Alligator mississippiensis: one gene and its partner. The main gene of each other region encodes a partner of the protein of the gene in region 2 in a complex. Links are inferred from orthologs where the notes say so. Each region holds a gene or a part of one and is shown on either strand. Other genes may lie near its edges.

The links. The genes of interacting proteins can lie anywhere in the genome.
Region 1: TFDP2 (region 2) and E2F1 share a complex: the UniProt entries of both Homo sapiens proteins name them as parts of the DRTF1/E2F transcription factor complex. The link is inferred for Alligator mississippiensis from reciprocal best matches to the Homo sapiens genes TFDP2 and E2F1.

What each region holds. Positions count from the first base shown.
Region 1 is NC_081832.1:27,212,255-27,220,519, reverse strand, and holds the start of E2F1 (transcription factor E2F1), read right to left. Parts: upstream 3,689-8,265; 5' UTR 3,322-3,688; coding exon 3,079-3,321; intron 1-3,078. UniProt on the Homo sapiens protein: Transcription activator that binds DNA cooperatively with DP proteins through the E2 recognition site, 5'-TTTC[CG]CGC-3' found in the promoter region of a number of genes whose products are involved in cell cycle regulation or in DNA replication.
Region 2 is NC_081830.1:56,276,576-56,284,697, reverse strand, and holds the start of TFDP2 (transcription factor Dp-2), read left to right. Parts: upstream 1-4,912; 5' UTR 4,913-5,037; intron 5,038-8,122. UniProt on the Homo sapiens protein: Can stimulate E2F-dependent transcription.

The DNA.
Region 1 (8,265 bases), on a different chromosome or scaffold from region 2:
TCCCATTCCCATTTGGCAGTATGCCCTGTTAGGCTCTGTTAAAAAGCTTCCTGATGGGGCTGTTCTTCAGCCAGGCCTCTAGCTACCCTCAGAAGCAGTGACAGCAAATATTGAGGAAACCTATGGCTAGGGAGGCAAGGAGGAGCAGGGCATAAACAGACAATTGAGAAAAGGAGGGCCTCAGGGATGAACATTCTTGCCCATCTTTACATATTCAAAGCTGTGGAACATAAAAGCTAAAGATCAAGGTGTTTCCCATATGACAGAATTCAGAGCAATCCAGTTAAAGAAGATGTCATGCCAGAAGTCATATAAGTATATCTGAGGATTGGAATACCCCACCCCCACCCAGCATCTCAGGAAGCTACTGAACAGGTCTTGCCACCAGACATTTAGGAACTCTTCAAAACTAAAGAGGTCTTGCTACAGCAGATGTGGACCAAGGGAAGGAAAAGAAACTGGAACAGAACTCTGAAGCACAGACATTCACCCCCTTGTTTTATATAAGTATTGCCTTCAAGAAAAAATGGTTGCCAGTGCTCAGGAGTTATACAGGGTGTCAGACTAAAACTGCCCTGTTAGAGGTACCCACTCAGCAACTCAGATTTTTCTTGGTTCTTCCATAATAGAGCCACTGCCCTTTCATGCACCATCATACAGTTGTGCCAATGTGAGCCAGGACAAGCTATGAAGCTCTGATCTTGTTGGCTATACATCACAAACGAGGAACCAGCCAGGGAATCAAAGCCTTGCCATAGCAACCTCAAATCAAGCACCTGACTTGATCACCCAGGAAGTTTGTGTCAACAGGCAAAGCAGAAGCTTCACACTGATGCTTCAGCAAAATGCCTGGGGCAAATGTTCAACCACAAGAAACTGGAGTTTCAAGAGCACTTGCCAAGACTTCTCATGAATTTTTACTGCACCTGCTTCTTACCTCTCTTTAGTGAGAGATGAGCTGGATCATGAAGGAAGTGGGTGGGAAAGAGGGAAATATGGTAACGGAGGCCTGTTAACAGTGGGAACACCCCAAAAGCATGACTGTGGCTGGGCTGGACACCTCCCTGCAGCATGAAGTCTCAGAAACACACATGACAAGAAGCAACTTGACTGTTCAAGGAATGAGCTTGGCATTGCTCATACTCCTCCAGATATCTGACTGTCAGGTTAAGCTACACACAGGCAGGAACCACCCCCTTCCCAGGAGCTTGAAAAAGGAGTTTGGACCCTGCTGCTCATACACGTGTGTGTTAAGAGCTTTGCTGACCACAGGCACCAGGCTGCAGTCTGAGAGGCTTTGAGAGGAACTCCTCTCAAGAGCACCTGAGAACAGCAGGTCACTTTGGGAGGATTCTCCCAAACACGGGCTCAACAGGAAGCACAAGCCCAAGCACTAAGCATGACAGCACAGAGGAGCAGTAACTGCATGTTTTCCAACCCTCCCAAATAACAATATCTTATTATGGATTTCTGAACCAAACAGCAGCCTACAATTAAACCAAAAGGATCAACTATAAAGCTGTTGCCCCCTGCAGGCCCCTCTGACTAGAGGGATGGGCTGCTGCAGAATAGTGTGTTTCAAGGGCAAAGCTTTCTCCTGGCTCCCTATCCCCTCTGCTGAATTAAAGCATAAGGATTCCAAACTGGAACAGTGACCAGTCTCATCTCAGGATCCATGGCCAATGATGCACAAGGGCTTAAGATCCTTATCATGGACTTGGCAGTGTACAATTAAAGGTGCGTTCCACACACAATCTGTCTCTCTCGGGACCAGAACTGCAAGCCCTCCTTGCTTTACACTTGATCTCGCTGGAGATGCTGGCCTTTTAAATCAACCTAGTAAGCCCTGTAAACAAGTCAAGACCCCAGAAAGAGGGAGAAAAGACTACTCCAGTGATCTCCCTTACTTCAGTGGTCTCTTATCTTGCGCTAGGAAAAGCATGGGCAAACCACTGTTTTCAGTGAGGCTCCCTGAGGAAAAAGGGGCACTGCATGTAGCTTCTGAGCTTGCTTGGAGAAACAATGGGAAGGTCCCCCGGTGCTGATGCTGAAGGAGAGAACCCCTGTTCCAGAAATCTTACCCTGAGGATTTAAAAAACATTACATCTCAGGGAGAGCAAATAAGCACATGCAAACAGACCCCACCCTGGGACAACAGACTTCTGCAGGACTGTGGCCTTAATATCCTGCAGCAGGAAGTGAAGCCTTTACATTTATACTGTTGCAGACTTTTGTCATAGCAGCTCAAGGAACTCACTGAGCTCTGGGAACCAATGGAGAGGCTTGGGGGCACAAATAAAATGCACTACTGGGACCTGGCCTTAAATGGAGTTCTGCTATGGTGAGGACCCCACTCTCTCAGGCTTTCCATTCCCCAGCTACTTATTTTCCCAGGTTTTCAAAAGTCAGCATTCCTCCCTCCTGTACAAGGCACATCACTCCCTTATGTGTTATCTACCTCACAGGCAGATGTATCAGGGCCAGAACTTCCACATCCTCCACTGCAACCTGTTCCACTTCACTACTTCACAGCAGTTATCAACAAAACTGGAAATGCATCTGAAGACAGCATGAGCTGCTGCTTTCATTTCAGGCTTCCTTTATGCAGTGCTGCCCACTTGGTAGCTCTGTTACACAGCCAGAAAACAAAGTGTGGCAGCCTTGCTCGGGGCCTCTGCCTACATCACCTAGCTACGTATTAACAGCGTACTGCCCTGCGCGGTGCCCATGGGGGCCCAGCCGGTGCAACACAGTCAACCTCTCCCAGTAGGAAAACACCCGAGGAGCGGAGCCCCGGAGGTCAGTCAAAGCCGCCAGGGCGCTCTCCTGAGCGAGGGGCAATGAGGCCAGCGCGCGGGGAAAGCGGCTTATGGCAGCCCCCGGCCGAGCTCCCCTGCATCCTACGCCCGGTCCGCTCGCCGCCGCCTTTCCGCTGGACTGCGCGGGTTCCGACCAGCCGCCCCACGGCAGCCTCGCCCGCAGGCTCCCCGTTCAGGTGCAAGAGGCGCCGCGTGGCACAGCCTCGGAGAGCGCCCGAGGCAAGCGCGCGGCGGGGCTAGGGAGTGAAAGCGGCATTACCGGCGGGCGCCCCAGGGCGGGCCTCTGCGCGGCGGGTCCCGGCCGCGGAGCCTGCGGGGTGGCGAAGAGCAGCAGCTCCGCCTCGCTGTCTCCGTCGGGCGCGGGCAGCTCGCCGGGGGTGGAGATGATCACGATCTGCTGCTCCACCACGCGGAGCCCCCCGGCTGCCCCCAGCAGCGCCTCCAGCTCGGCCACGCAGGCGCTGCCGCCATCCCGGGCCACCTCCAGGCCATCCAAAGACATCCTCCGCCCGGCGCGGGCTCACATCCCCGGGCGCTCACGGGGAAGACCCAGCGCTGCTCCCCTCGCCCGCTCCCGGCGCTGCGTCCACCCGGGGATCACAGCGGCCTGGCGGGCACGGCGGCACAGCCCCGCCAGCGGCGGGCAAAGGCCACGGCCGGGAGAAGCGGCAGGGCGCCGCGGCCCATACTCAGCCCGAGGAGGCGCAACCAGGCAAGGCCCCGAGCGCGGCGGCGACCCAGACCATCTGCCCCGGCCCGGCCACTGTTATTGTTCCCAGCTGGTCCCGGCCCCGCACGCGTTTGCGCGCCAAATCCTTTTTGCCGCGAAAGCAGCACGAGCCGAGTGCGCGCGCTCCGATTGGCTGCACCCGTCGCGTCGATACGCAACGCCGCGGGCAGCCGCGTCCCCATTGGTCGCGACCCCGGGATTGATACGCAAACAGCATCTCCCCATTGGCCGCGGCGGGGCAGCCGGGAGGTTTCGGAGTGACTGGGAGACCGTTCTGACAGTGGCCCAATCACAGAGGCTGCGTCGGTCGGAGTGGGGAGGGAAGGGGGCCGTGGGCCAATCAGCGGGGAGCTGGGGGACGCTGAGCTGGGGCCGCTGGGGTGAGAGGGGTTCGAACCGGGGCCTTAAAGGGGAAAAGCGCGGCACGGGCGCTTTCCCTGTCCCGGGGCTGACGTGAGCCCGGGCTGCCCCGCCTCTTCCTGGCACCGCCCCAGCGCTGGTCTCACGCTCCGAGGTCTCCCTCTGGGACTGAGACCCCTCCCCTCGCTGCCCTGCTCAGGACGGCGGCGTCTTCGCGCCTTGCACGAGGGCACTTGGCCAGAGGCTGGCGCGCGTCGCCGTAGCTGATGATCCTGTCTCAGCCATCCCCCAGCTCACCCCGTGACTTGCGGCCCACGGGGTGTGCCATCAAGTGCTCTACCTGGACCACGAGTCTCCAGTTGGAAGGGCAGGCTGGGAGCTGCAGGCTTCAGGAAACGCACCTGACTTAAACACCGGGAGAAAGGAATAGAGAATTAAAAAAAAAAAGTGTCTGTGTGTGCCCATGCATGCAGGTTTGTGCACATGCGTTCATGTAAATGCATCTCTGTGTGGGTGTTTGTCAGCTGTGTGCATGCATGCGTGTGCATGTGCCCACACCTATATGCATCAGTACAAAGACATACACGGGTGAATGTGGCATAAAAGGAGCAGGCAAGGCTGGTAGCAAGTCAAATGATCCCCCTAGGTATCTGTGATGTGGTCTCTTGTTCTTGAGTGGGTGCATGCAGTAGAGGGTTGGTTTCTTTAGTTGCTGCAAACATGACTTGCTTCATAAAGCATTTCTTCCTTTGGCATTACGGGATGAGGCCAGCTGTTTGGACTTTGCCCCCAGTAGGACTAATCAGACTCAGCAAAATTTACAGTTATACAAAATTGCCTGTACTTTGTCCATATGACAGAGTCCACCTTGGCTCTGAATGGCAGAGCTGTGACAATTTGTGAATGATTGATCCAAAGTTAGACTGCTGATGCCACCAGGGGGCTTCCTGGCATACCTGTAGTCTGGAAAATGCAGTTAAGAGAAGGTGTCCAAATCCCAGCCCTTTCAATTCATGTATTCAAAGTCAAGATCCATATGAGGATGGGTGGGTTAAGGGACAACACAAGAAGCCAGCAGCAACAAGAAACAGTTCTTCACACTTCCCTCCCCCCACTTTCTAAGGCCAGTTGACATCCTGGATTCCTCTCATTCTGACTTCAGACTAAGGCACTCCTAGCCGCTTTCATAGATGACATCTTTCTATCTGTGGACAGGTCCATACCTCCAGCCTCATTATTCTGAGCCTCTTTCTAGAGCTTGTAGGTAGTGTTACAAAACACTTTTGCACTGTTCCAAGTAGCTGTAGGAATAGATGATAAAGCTATGAAATGCCTTAGATTTCTCCTCAGAGACCAAACCCAGAGTCTGACACAGGGAACTAATGCTCTGTTTCCAAAGCCTTCCATTCTGGAGCCTAGTCCCCACCTTACAACATCCAATGTCTACATGGAGCTGATGAGATACTGTAGCTTGAAGTGCCGCCATTACCCAGATGATATCCAATTCCATCTCTTCACGTCAACTATAAACAGCAATGTCTCTCAGCTTCCTTACTGCCTAACTAAAGCTGAAACCATTTTGAATGCAACCATCCTGGGAGGGAGAAGGGAGTGCTACAAAGAGTTTGTCAGCTCTGTGGCATCCCCCCTGTTGGAATTCACCTTCCCTTGGGTTGTCATGTGTGTCCTCAGCTGTGCATTCCCTTCAGATTTCATGGTACTATTGGTTATCAAATAGCTTGCTAGCAAATAACCCCAACATTTGATCCATTGGATACTGAACTCAGCTAAAGATGCCCTTTCCAGTCCTACCTTCCTGTGTTCCCCCTATGACTGGTCAGATAATAATGACTATCCTATAAGACAGACCTGGCTATAGGTCCATATGTTCCTCACCTTCAAGTGTGGCTATTGCAAGCCATGTCTAGACATAAAGCCTCAAATTCAGAGATAGTTGAAGTCTGTCCCTTTGGCCACCTTCTATGAACATCTTTCCCATGCACTGCTTTCTACAGTCACTGCCTAGTGGACAAAGTCTAGCTGAAGGTCTCTACTGTAATATTCAAAGTGCTCTAGGTAGCTCTCCTTTAGTGAGACCATGCTGTCCTTCTACAGCTATATTCCACGTGACAAGAAGTAAAAGCTCACTTACCAGAGTGCCCCTTGGGGTATCTAGAAACAATGGCCACAAAGTGACAGGGAGCAGATTTAGGCTGGACATCAAGACGGACTTCTTTATGGTAAGGGTTACCAGAATCTGAATGGGCTTCCAAGGTAGGTGGTGCTCTCCCCTACTCTGAAGGCCTTTAAGAGGAGACTGGACAAGCACCTGGCTGGGGTCATCTGATCCCAGTGCTCTTTCCTGCTCAGGGCAGAGGGTCAGACTCGATGATCTACTGAGGTCCCTTCGGGCCCTAAAAATCTATGAAATCTATGAATGAAGGACCCAATTCTTACAGGTTCTGGCCCCAGGAGTTATAGGAATAACTACAGGCCTCATCACTCTCAGAATTAAATGTCAGACTCATTTCTTTAGTGGTGTGTTCCCTCACTAGCTTCTACAGGCATGCATATGCAGTCCTACAAATTCATCAGACTCCTTTTCTAACATGCCAAGGAAGAAAAGAAAGAGAGGGGCAGGCATTTCTATTTAAAATACTTGGGAAGTGTTTGGCTACTTAGAAGACCTCTAAACATGGGATACACAAATCACTGGCATAATGTCCTCATGGAAGTGGTGGGAGTCTTGACATTGGAGTCATCTGAGAATGGTTGGGACAAAACCCCACAAGATATACTGTGAAACAGACAGAAACAAGGAGAAACAAGAGGCCTTAACACTCTTCATTGTATATTGATTATTTTCCCATGGGGAAGGGAATGGACCTTTCTGGAAAACTTGTTTGTTTTTACTTTAATCTATTTCTGATGTTCAATGGTAAACAGCACCCACCTGATTGTTTCTGGACAGTAATGCCTTGTCCCAAAATGATTGTGTTTCTTTCAGAATTAAGATCTTCTGAAAGGTGGGGGTTTTTAATTCATTTTTCTGGTGAAGTATGTCTTCATTGAACAAAATATAACTAGTGTACTGGCACATCTTATAGAAATTAAACAGGAAATATTGTCATAATACATTTAATAATTGCATGATTGTATTGGGGTACCTGCAGAGAAAATCTGGAGGTCTCATGAGCTGTCTTTGTCTTTGGCATGTCTTTAAGCTATAAGATCTGGGAGACTGCGAAGGCTCAAATTTGTACAAAAAGCCCAAGCCATTGAATGGAAAGAGAAGAAACTTTACTGTATTTACTACCAGTCTCTTGCTGTAATTGTATCACATTAGTCAGTGTATATACATGCTTCCCCTTTATGTCCTTTCACAGAGGATACCAGTCTTTAACAACTCAGCTATTTAGCTTAAGCTGTAGAGATTGATGATTTTGGCTTTGGTGGTCTTATATTCAGTACCTGTTGCTAGCCAAGGTGGAGACAATCTTGACAGCACACTCCTGAGTCTTTTCTCCAAAGGCCTAACTGGTAAGAAAATCAGAGTTATGTTGACTTTGCTGTGCAACACTTGTTCATCCATATTCTATACAGCCATGGGCAATTCAGAGCTGAAAAGGCAGATAACAGCAGAGTCCTCTAGTATCTCTAAATGTGCAGGGGGCTATGGTAATACACCCACAAAACATGGCATAGATTGTAGAGTTCCCTCCATATGCATCTCCATGTGTAGGAAGCTGATAAGTTGTTTTACCAAGTGAGAAGTCTAAATTAAAAAAAAAGGTACGATGAGAAAGCACATTTATGAATTGCGCCTTTTCTAGAATTGTAACTTATATAGACAAAGGTTTACAGAAAAAGAATCCCAGATTTTTTATTAAATACTCACTTCATCCATTACTGAAACATGGTTGCTTCTGGTGTGAAACATGGAAGCTATTTATTGACTCACGTTCACCATTTGAAAGAATATAAGAGAAAAATGAACAAATATGCCTCTAACTGAGCCTGAAGGGACACTCCTAAGGAAGCAGACTGTAATAAGCAGTGACAGATTATGGCTAGAATATAAGTCTGTTTACCTTGTAAGAAGTGCTGGGAGAAATGAATGACCTTTAGTAGTCAGTCTGTCCACCTTACCATGAAAAGCATAATGATCCTTCAGCACCAGCCTGGGGCACTGACTCAATGATACCCCAGAAAGGTGGCAAAGGATACAGTAAAAATGGGCCACATAATAGTCAGTCAAAGTCAATCAAGATTGTACTAGAAATCTTAGCCATATGTTTAAGTGGAATCCTGGGAGAGGAACTTGCCTGTTTCTGGAGGTCTTCAGTAGTGCAGTTT
Region 2 (8,122 bases):
TAGGTCCTGCCATACGTCAAGAGCCTTCCTGCTGCTATAACATTATTTACTACTACATATTGAATCATCCTACCCTTCTTTATGATCTGCAGCAGCTCCGCTCCTTCAGTGAACTCCACAGAGGTAGCTCACATGATTGAATATTATTACTACTATGTATCAGTGAGGGCGTGGTTACCGGGGCAGGGGATTCTTACTCTAATCATTGGGCAAGGAAGAAGCTATGGGAGCGGTGACAAAGGATGCTTCTTGTTTGCCTTTGTCGGACTGGAATTTGATAAATTTGTTCTGTAGTGGGCTTCACTTTAAGATCACTTTCAAACTGAAGCTGGTGCAGAATACCACTGCCTAACTATTACAAGGGCATTTATTTTCTATGAAGGACTCTCTAAATTGGAATTTACTTCCCTTGATCTGAAAAAGCCTGGATTTGATATCCTTTAGGGTATGCAGTAAGTTATATTTTTCTGGGCATTTCTGGGAGGAGCAGGAGTTTTTTTTTCCTTATGGTAGACTTTACCCTGTGAATTTACCCCTCTTGACTGTGTGTATTAGATCATATTTGGACTAACTTGACAGTCTATTTGCATAAGGAGGCTTTTGTCCATGGTGCATGTTATGGCATTATGGTTCCTAGGCCTTAGATGAGCAATATAGTAAGTCAGAATATAAAAGTGAACACCGATCAATACTAAATACCAGTATTTTGTCCCCAAATTTTTGTAGCTAATGGTTTCCATCTGATACATTCATTTCTTTAATTTTGTAATAAAATACATAATTTTGCACTTTGTGAGTTAATACAAATATCGTTAAAAGTCATTACAAGTACTGTCTCATTCTTTAAAAAGTCTGTAGCGATATTAATATTTTCAAAGCCGTCATGATTATTCTGTGCTAAAGCTGAAACAAATGTGTCTATTTTTTTAATAATTACTTTATTGATACTGTTTTTAAAACTGGAATAAAATAACTAATGAATAAATTATGTAGAAAGCTGTTATTCAAACCAGCATCTAATTATAATTTCGAGTCTTTATGTTCTTTTAGAATTCCCTTTTTGCAAGAATGTGTGTGCATGATGTATTTATATTGTTTTATCTAATCTGGACTGAATCAAACGAGCTATATTTGTGGAAATGCTATGTTCTTTGGTTCTGTTTTACATTAGGAATCCAGTGTTGGAAGACAGAACCTCTCTCTCCTAGAAGATCTGTATCCTGGTGTGAGGGGGAGATGGGCAGACATGAAGCTAGCAGAGAACACAAACAGAAACTGAATTTGAGTGACTCACAATTGGTCAAAAATCTAGTACAGTTCTTTTCCATACTCTGCTTCAGAATGAAAGCTTCTGTTTAAGAAAGACCCAGACTCTTCAGCTTGGCAAGATTGCTTTGTATCATGTCCTGAAACTGAAGAGGAGACCACTGGAAAACTTCCTTCTATGCAGAATCCTTTTAGGTCTAAAGGTGAGAGAGGCTGTTTTATTGCCATCCAAGACACCTGCTGCTTCTTCCATCCATCCATCAGCATAACGGAATGAGAAGGCCTGCTGGAAAGTAAACAGGGAGCAACTGTGTGCCATTAGCTTGCATCCCTGATTTGAGCTGGATCCCTAAAACTGAAATGAGAAGCCAAAGTTGGTCCCTACATCTTCCCTTCTTCCACTCTGTTAAATGTCAATATTGTTAATCTTCCAGTACTGTTCAAAACGCACAGCAAAAAGGGATGAGATCTATTCCTGGCTTAGGGTCAGAGGGGAGAGCAACATAAGTAATGTTGTGGTGGGTGTCTGCCATGGACCACCAGACCAGGAGGATGTGATGGATGAGGCTTTCTTCAAACAGCTAGCAGAAGTTTCCTGATCACAAGTCCTTGTTCTCATGAGAGACTTCAGTCACCCTCCCAGTCATCTCCTGGGAGGGCAATACAGCAGTGCGCAAGCAATCTAGGAAGATTTTTGGAGAGTGCTGGGAACAACTTCCTGGTGCAACTGTTGGAGACCAACTAGGGGCTGTGCTCTTCTTGACCTGCTGCTCACAAACAGGGAAGAATTGGTGGGGAATGTAGAAGTGAGTGGCAACTTGGGCAGAAGCGAGCATGAGATGATTCAGTTCGGGATCCTGAGGAAAGAAAGAATGGAGAACAGCAGAAAAAGGACCCTGGACTTCAGAAAAGCAGACCTTGACTCATGAAACTGATGGGCAGGATCCCCTGGGAGGCCAGTCTGAGGGGAAAGGCATCCAGGAGAGCTGGTTGTACTTCAAAGAAATCTTACTGAGGGCATAGGAACAAACCATCCCAATAAACAGGAAGACTAGCAAGTATGGCAGAAGACCAGCTTGGCTTAAGAAGGGAACTTTTCAGTGAGCTAAAACACAAAAAGGAATATTACAATAAGTAGAAACTTGGACAAACAACTAGGGAGGAATATGAGAGCATTACTTGGGCATGCAGGGGTGAGATCAGAAAGTCCAAAGCGCAGTTGGAGAGTTGCTGCTAGCAAAGGACGTATAGGGTAACAGGAAGGCTTTCTGCAAGTATGTCAGCAACAAGGAGGATCACAGAAAGTGTGGGTCCCTTACTGAAAGGGGGAGGCAACCTTGAGACAGGATGTGGAAAAGTCTAAAGTACTCAATGCCTTTTTTACCTTAGTCTTCATAAGCAAGGTCAGCTCCCAGACTACTGCACCTGGTAGCAGTTTGGGGAGGAGGTGAGCAGCCAACAGTGGCAAAATAACAGTTCAGGGACTATTTAAAAAAGTTGGACATGTAAGTCTGTGGGGCCAGATGCAATGCACCCAAGTGTGCTGATAGAGTTGGCCAAAGTGATTGCAAAGCCGCTGGCCATCTTTGAAAACTCATAACAGTTGGAAAAAGGCAAATAATAGTGCTTCTCTTTAAGAAAGGGAAGAAGCAGGATCCAAGGAACTATAGACCGGTCAGTCTCACCTCAGTCCCTGGAAAAAACATAAATCAGGTCCTCAAGAAATTCATTTGTAAGCACTTGGAAAAGGTAATTAGGAACAGTCAGCATGGATTCAGTGAGGGCAAGTCATGCCTGACCAAACTGATTACCTGCTCTGATGAGACGCCTGGCTCTGTAGATGCAGGGAAAGCAGTAGATGTGGTATACCTTGACTTTGGCAAGGTCTCTTGCAAGCAGACTAAAGAAGTATGGGTTGGATGAATGAACTGCAAAGTGGACAGAAAACTGGCTAGATCATTAGGCTGGATCAATGGCTCCATGTCTAGGTGGCAGCCAGTATAAAGTGGAGTCCCCCAGGGCTTGGTCTTGGGGCTGTTTATTTTCACTATCTTCATCAGTGACCTGAAAGGTGGGAGTATACCCTCAGCAAGTCTGCAGATGACACCAAGTTGTGGGGAGTAGTAGATATGTTGGAAGGTAGGGCTAGGATTCAGATAGACCTAGACAAATTGGAGGATTGGACCAAAAGAAATCTTATGAGGCTCAATAAGAACAAGTGTAAAATCCTGCAACAAGGAGAGAAGAATCCTAAGCACCAGTACAGGCTGAGAACTGACTCGACTGAACAACAGCTCTGCAGAAAAGGATGTGGAGGTTACAGCGGACAGTAAGCTGAATATGAGCCAACAGTGCTGTTGTTGCAAAGAAGGCTAACACCATACAAGGGTTGCATTAGTAGGAGCGTTGCCACCAGAGTGAGGGGAGTGGTCCTTCCCTTCTATTCTATTTTTCCCCCTTTATTCCCCCCCCCCTTCCCTGCTTTACCTTTTGTCTAATTTCTACCTATTTACATTCTCACTGACACCCTGCCACTTTTAGCATCTCATTCCTTGGCGTCTCAGAAAAGCAGAGACTCCCTATGCCTGAAGAAGTGTGACTACCCCTAAAAGCTTGCTAAGACCTTTTTCTAACTATTCAGTTGGTCTAATAAACAAAATCACACCTACTCAAAGAAACTTGCCATTTTAGGATTATAACATTCATAGATTAATATCTAAATTTCATAGCCATTAGACTGCTTCAGGGGTAGCTGCATGGATTAATTTTAGATTGCCATTAAAAGATCTTAATTGGGCAATCATTCACAATGTGTTGCACCATCTGAAAAATTGCACCACACAGCCCTGAAAAATCCCATCACAGTTGCAACCTGGATGCTCTTTGATTCTCCATTTATGGAGCTAGTGTCCACATTTTCCATGAAGGGTCCAAATTTGATTCAAGGAGGACCAAATCTTTGTTGGTAGGACAAATCCTGGCTGGGGGACAGTAAGGTTGCTAAAGATGTATTTATGCAGCAGGTTTGTATTTGTCCAGGCTTCTCTCCATTGCTCTTCAGTGCACCTTTAGCTTCTTTATAACTTCTGCCCGGTACCCTCAGCATCTCAGAGTTACAACACCTCAGGCAAGGGGTAACTGGCCCGTGCTTCCTTGCTTCAGTCCCAGAGCTGAGAATAAGCCTTGCAGTCCTCCAGCATCCCAGGATGCCCTGCCCCTCCCCTCACAGCACCCCGGGGTCCCACCCCCCAGGGCAAGGTCCAGCCCTGCGGGCAAGCAGCCGCGTTAACCCTTAAGGTGCCACTGCTCCCAGCACTTCCCTGCCCAGTGCATGCAGGACCCGGCACCTGCGGCACGGGGCGCTGCCTGTTTCGGGGCCGTGCCCTTCACTATGCAATTCAGCGGGGGAGGGGGCCCATTAAAGCCGCGCTCGTCCCCCGTCGCTCCAGGGCCGGGGTCAAAGGTAACTGGACTCTCTTAGGGCGCATGCGCCGCCCCACGCCCCCGGTTCGGTCCACCCCGCCCCACCCCGCCCCCGCCGGAGCAGCGGCTGGGATTGGCGGGTGGATTGTGTACACACACGAGGAAGCGCCAATGGGCGGCTGGCGGCGCCTTACGTCAGGCGGAGGGCCGGCCAATGGGAGCGGGCGGTTGTCAGACGCCGCCAAGCTTGTGCGGGGGAGCTGCGCCCGGCTCAGGCGCCGGGAGCGCTGGATTCACACCGCCGCCGCGGGGCTGCTCTCCGCGCCGGGCCGGGCCCGCCGGCACCTGGTAAGGACGCGCCGAGCGCCGCGGCCCCGACCCCCGCCTGCTCCCGGCGCGGCGCCCCCGGGGCTGCTTGCGGGCGCGTCCCGCTCCCCGGCGCGGCGGTACAGCGGCGCGGGCGGGCCGGGCCCCGTGGGGTGACAGCGCGCCGGGACTCTGCGGCGGCGGTGCGGCCTGGTTGGGTGCGGCGGGAGCAGGCGCGGCGGCTCTTCCTGCTCCGGGCCGGGCGGCGAGGGCGGGGCCTGCAGCGCCGGCGCCGCCCGGTCCTGGCCTTGCGGCGGGGCCCGCCGGGTCCTTCCCGGCTTCTGGCGGCGGAGCAGGCACCGCCCGCGGTCGCTTTGCGCCGCCAGGGCCCGGGGGAAGGCGGGCGTGGGCGGCTGCCGATGCGGCCTGGGGTTGGGGAAGGCTGAACAGCCCCTGGCTCGGCCGAGAAACGCGGCTCGGGTTGGGGGGCCGCTCCTGCGCTGAGGAGGAAGTTGTCCGGCTGTCCAGAGCTTCACCCGGATCCTCGGTTCACCCCTACGTTTCCTGGGAGGCCAGGCCTGGCCTCTTCGTGAGGCGGGTCTGTCCTCTAGGAGGGGCTTTGGTCTCCTGTGACGTCCGCCTGGCAACTCTGGGCACAAGTCCAGCCAACTTAATAGAAGAGTCGGCATAGAAACATGGAAAGGGGGGCATTTGGGGGCCTGTCTAATTATGCCAGAGCTTCTCTTTCTTTTTATTAAAGCGACTTGGCTTTCCTAAAAGTTGTCTGTTCGTCTTCAAAAATTTAAATCTTCTCCCTTGAAAATCTGGTTACATTTAGCAAAAATACTGTCCAGCGGTGACTGGGTCACACAGATGTTGTATCTAGTTCTGCGTGTCTTAGAAATTCCCTTGTAACTGGCTCGCGAGCTGGAACTTTGATTGTTACCTGGTAAACCTGCCCTTGTATGCTGATCCTGGAAGCAGCTTCCTTTTCTTTAGGTTAGATTGTGGCTAGTAAAACAGTTGATCCTCTGGTGACTGAGCTTTGTCTTTCACAGCATTCGCATCAATGTGATAGAGGTGAGTTTACCCATGAGTTATCTGAACTGCAAAATGAGGTTACTTGTTTGAATCCTAGCACTGATATTTTGTACATATAGACACGCTTAATGTGTGGACCCCTTCCTTAAAATAGACTACTGGATATCTATGCGATGCCTAGATAGCAACTTGATCAAGCCCTAAGGAGAAGGCAAAAAGTAGGGTGTCTCACCCTAAGTGCCTAAGTGGTTCAGAAAGGCATGAGCTTTGGTAGGCAACTACCTACTTAAATCAGATGCTCTGAATTAACTGACAGAAGAGAAACTATTTAATGGGAAGGAAGAAGTGGTTATAAGGGGGGGGGGGGACGGACAACCTTTTTTTTTTTTTAGCAAGAGATAGGGGATGGAGGGGAGGGAATACAGAATATTTTCCCCACTCCCACCACTACCTCCCCAAGACAACTTTTGCTTGTTAACTTTAGACTGGGATGACCTCTTCTAGCAGAGATGCTGATCACATGGTACACCTGTGCCCTAAAATAAGAGGGGGAAGAAAAATGATAACACAGGAGTTCCTCTTCACAGGACTGTTGTATATTAGCCAATTTCTAAGAGCAATCTTGTATTCAGCTGTAAAACCCTCAAACTTTTATAACCACTTCCTGTTTGTGCAAAAAATCTTTGCTGTAATACAAAAAAAGAAGAGGCAGTTTGACTTCAGTGGATACAGTTCATAATCTTTATTAAATTATATACCTTTCATTTATGTACTGCTGTTAACTGAGTGCAATGCAAGCTTTTTGCCTATGTTGCTACTTGTAGCCTCAGATGAGCAGTTCAGCTGTTAGTATATTAAACAGTATATTTAATATCATCTTTCTGATTGTTTATTACATAAGTAGTTACCTTCTGATACCAAATGATATGAGACAAAAACCCTGTAAGTTCCTCATTTTTCATCATTCATTTCAACATGAAGCTGAAAAATTACTGTTCTTCTAGTACCATTATTTAGATGCTAATGTAAAGACCTTTTTCCTGGGATGAGCAAGGTATTTCAGTGAATTACTGCACCTTTTAGAAAACTTTTGACACTAGTCATCTTGTGAAACTTATCCTGTTGTTTTTGTTCCTGGCAGGTGTTTTTTCTACACTACAAGTTGTGTGACAGTTAATATGATTTGGTATAATCTTTCTGCTCATCAAAAGCCTATTGCTAAAAGTATGGCAAGTCCTAATCTAATTCATTTAGTTGTGTGCAGAAGCTTGCTTGATTTAAGGCTGTCTGTTATAAGCTGCTTCTAAGATGTTCAAGCAGAGTGATGTTCAAAGGGTGCTTATTCTTCTGAAAGAACTTAATGAATTTATTCTCTTTGCATACTGGATATAACTTTTTGGAGCTTCTTGTGCACCTGGAAAGTCATGAGCAACCTCAGATGAACTGAGGAAGGTGGTGTCAGCTTCATTCTGCTGTAGAGGAGAGTCTACTTACAGGAACAGTACCAAAAAAAAATTAAAAAATAGCCATAGAGTGGTATAAGAGAGGTTCCTGGAGAACCTGATCAATTCAGTAAGAAAGAATAAAGAGGGGATATAGCTGGGAAAGGGAAGTTGTTTAGCTAAGTTGTATGTCACATTTTTAACTGCAGTTGCTACAACTAAACAGGCTCAGATTAATCTGGATGGTTTTATTGATATGTTTCCTTAATAAAGGCTTTAGCATTGCATTGACATTTATTTGCTTTCTAAATGTGTGTGGCAGTGATTAGAGGAAAGATGTCTCATTCTCTATTGGCATAATTTATGGGATCTTACTACTAGCTAGAGGGTTGCATGAGTAGATTTTTGTAGACTACTAGTAGGTAGTGGATACTGAAAAGTAAAGACCAACACATTTTCTCCCTCTGGTCTCCTGCCATGAAATGTGTTCTTGAAGCTGGGCCTTGGCTGTATCACCATAATGTCAATGCAAAGTCAACAGGCCACACAAGTCCATGCTCTTCTAAATGTATCTAACTTTGATGGTTAAGTAATTCAGTGGAAAATCAGCTAAAATAGATTAGTCCCCTGAGGTATACAAGTTA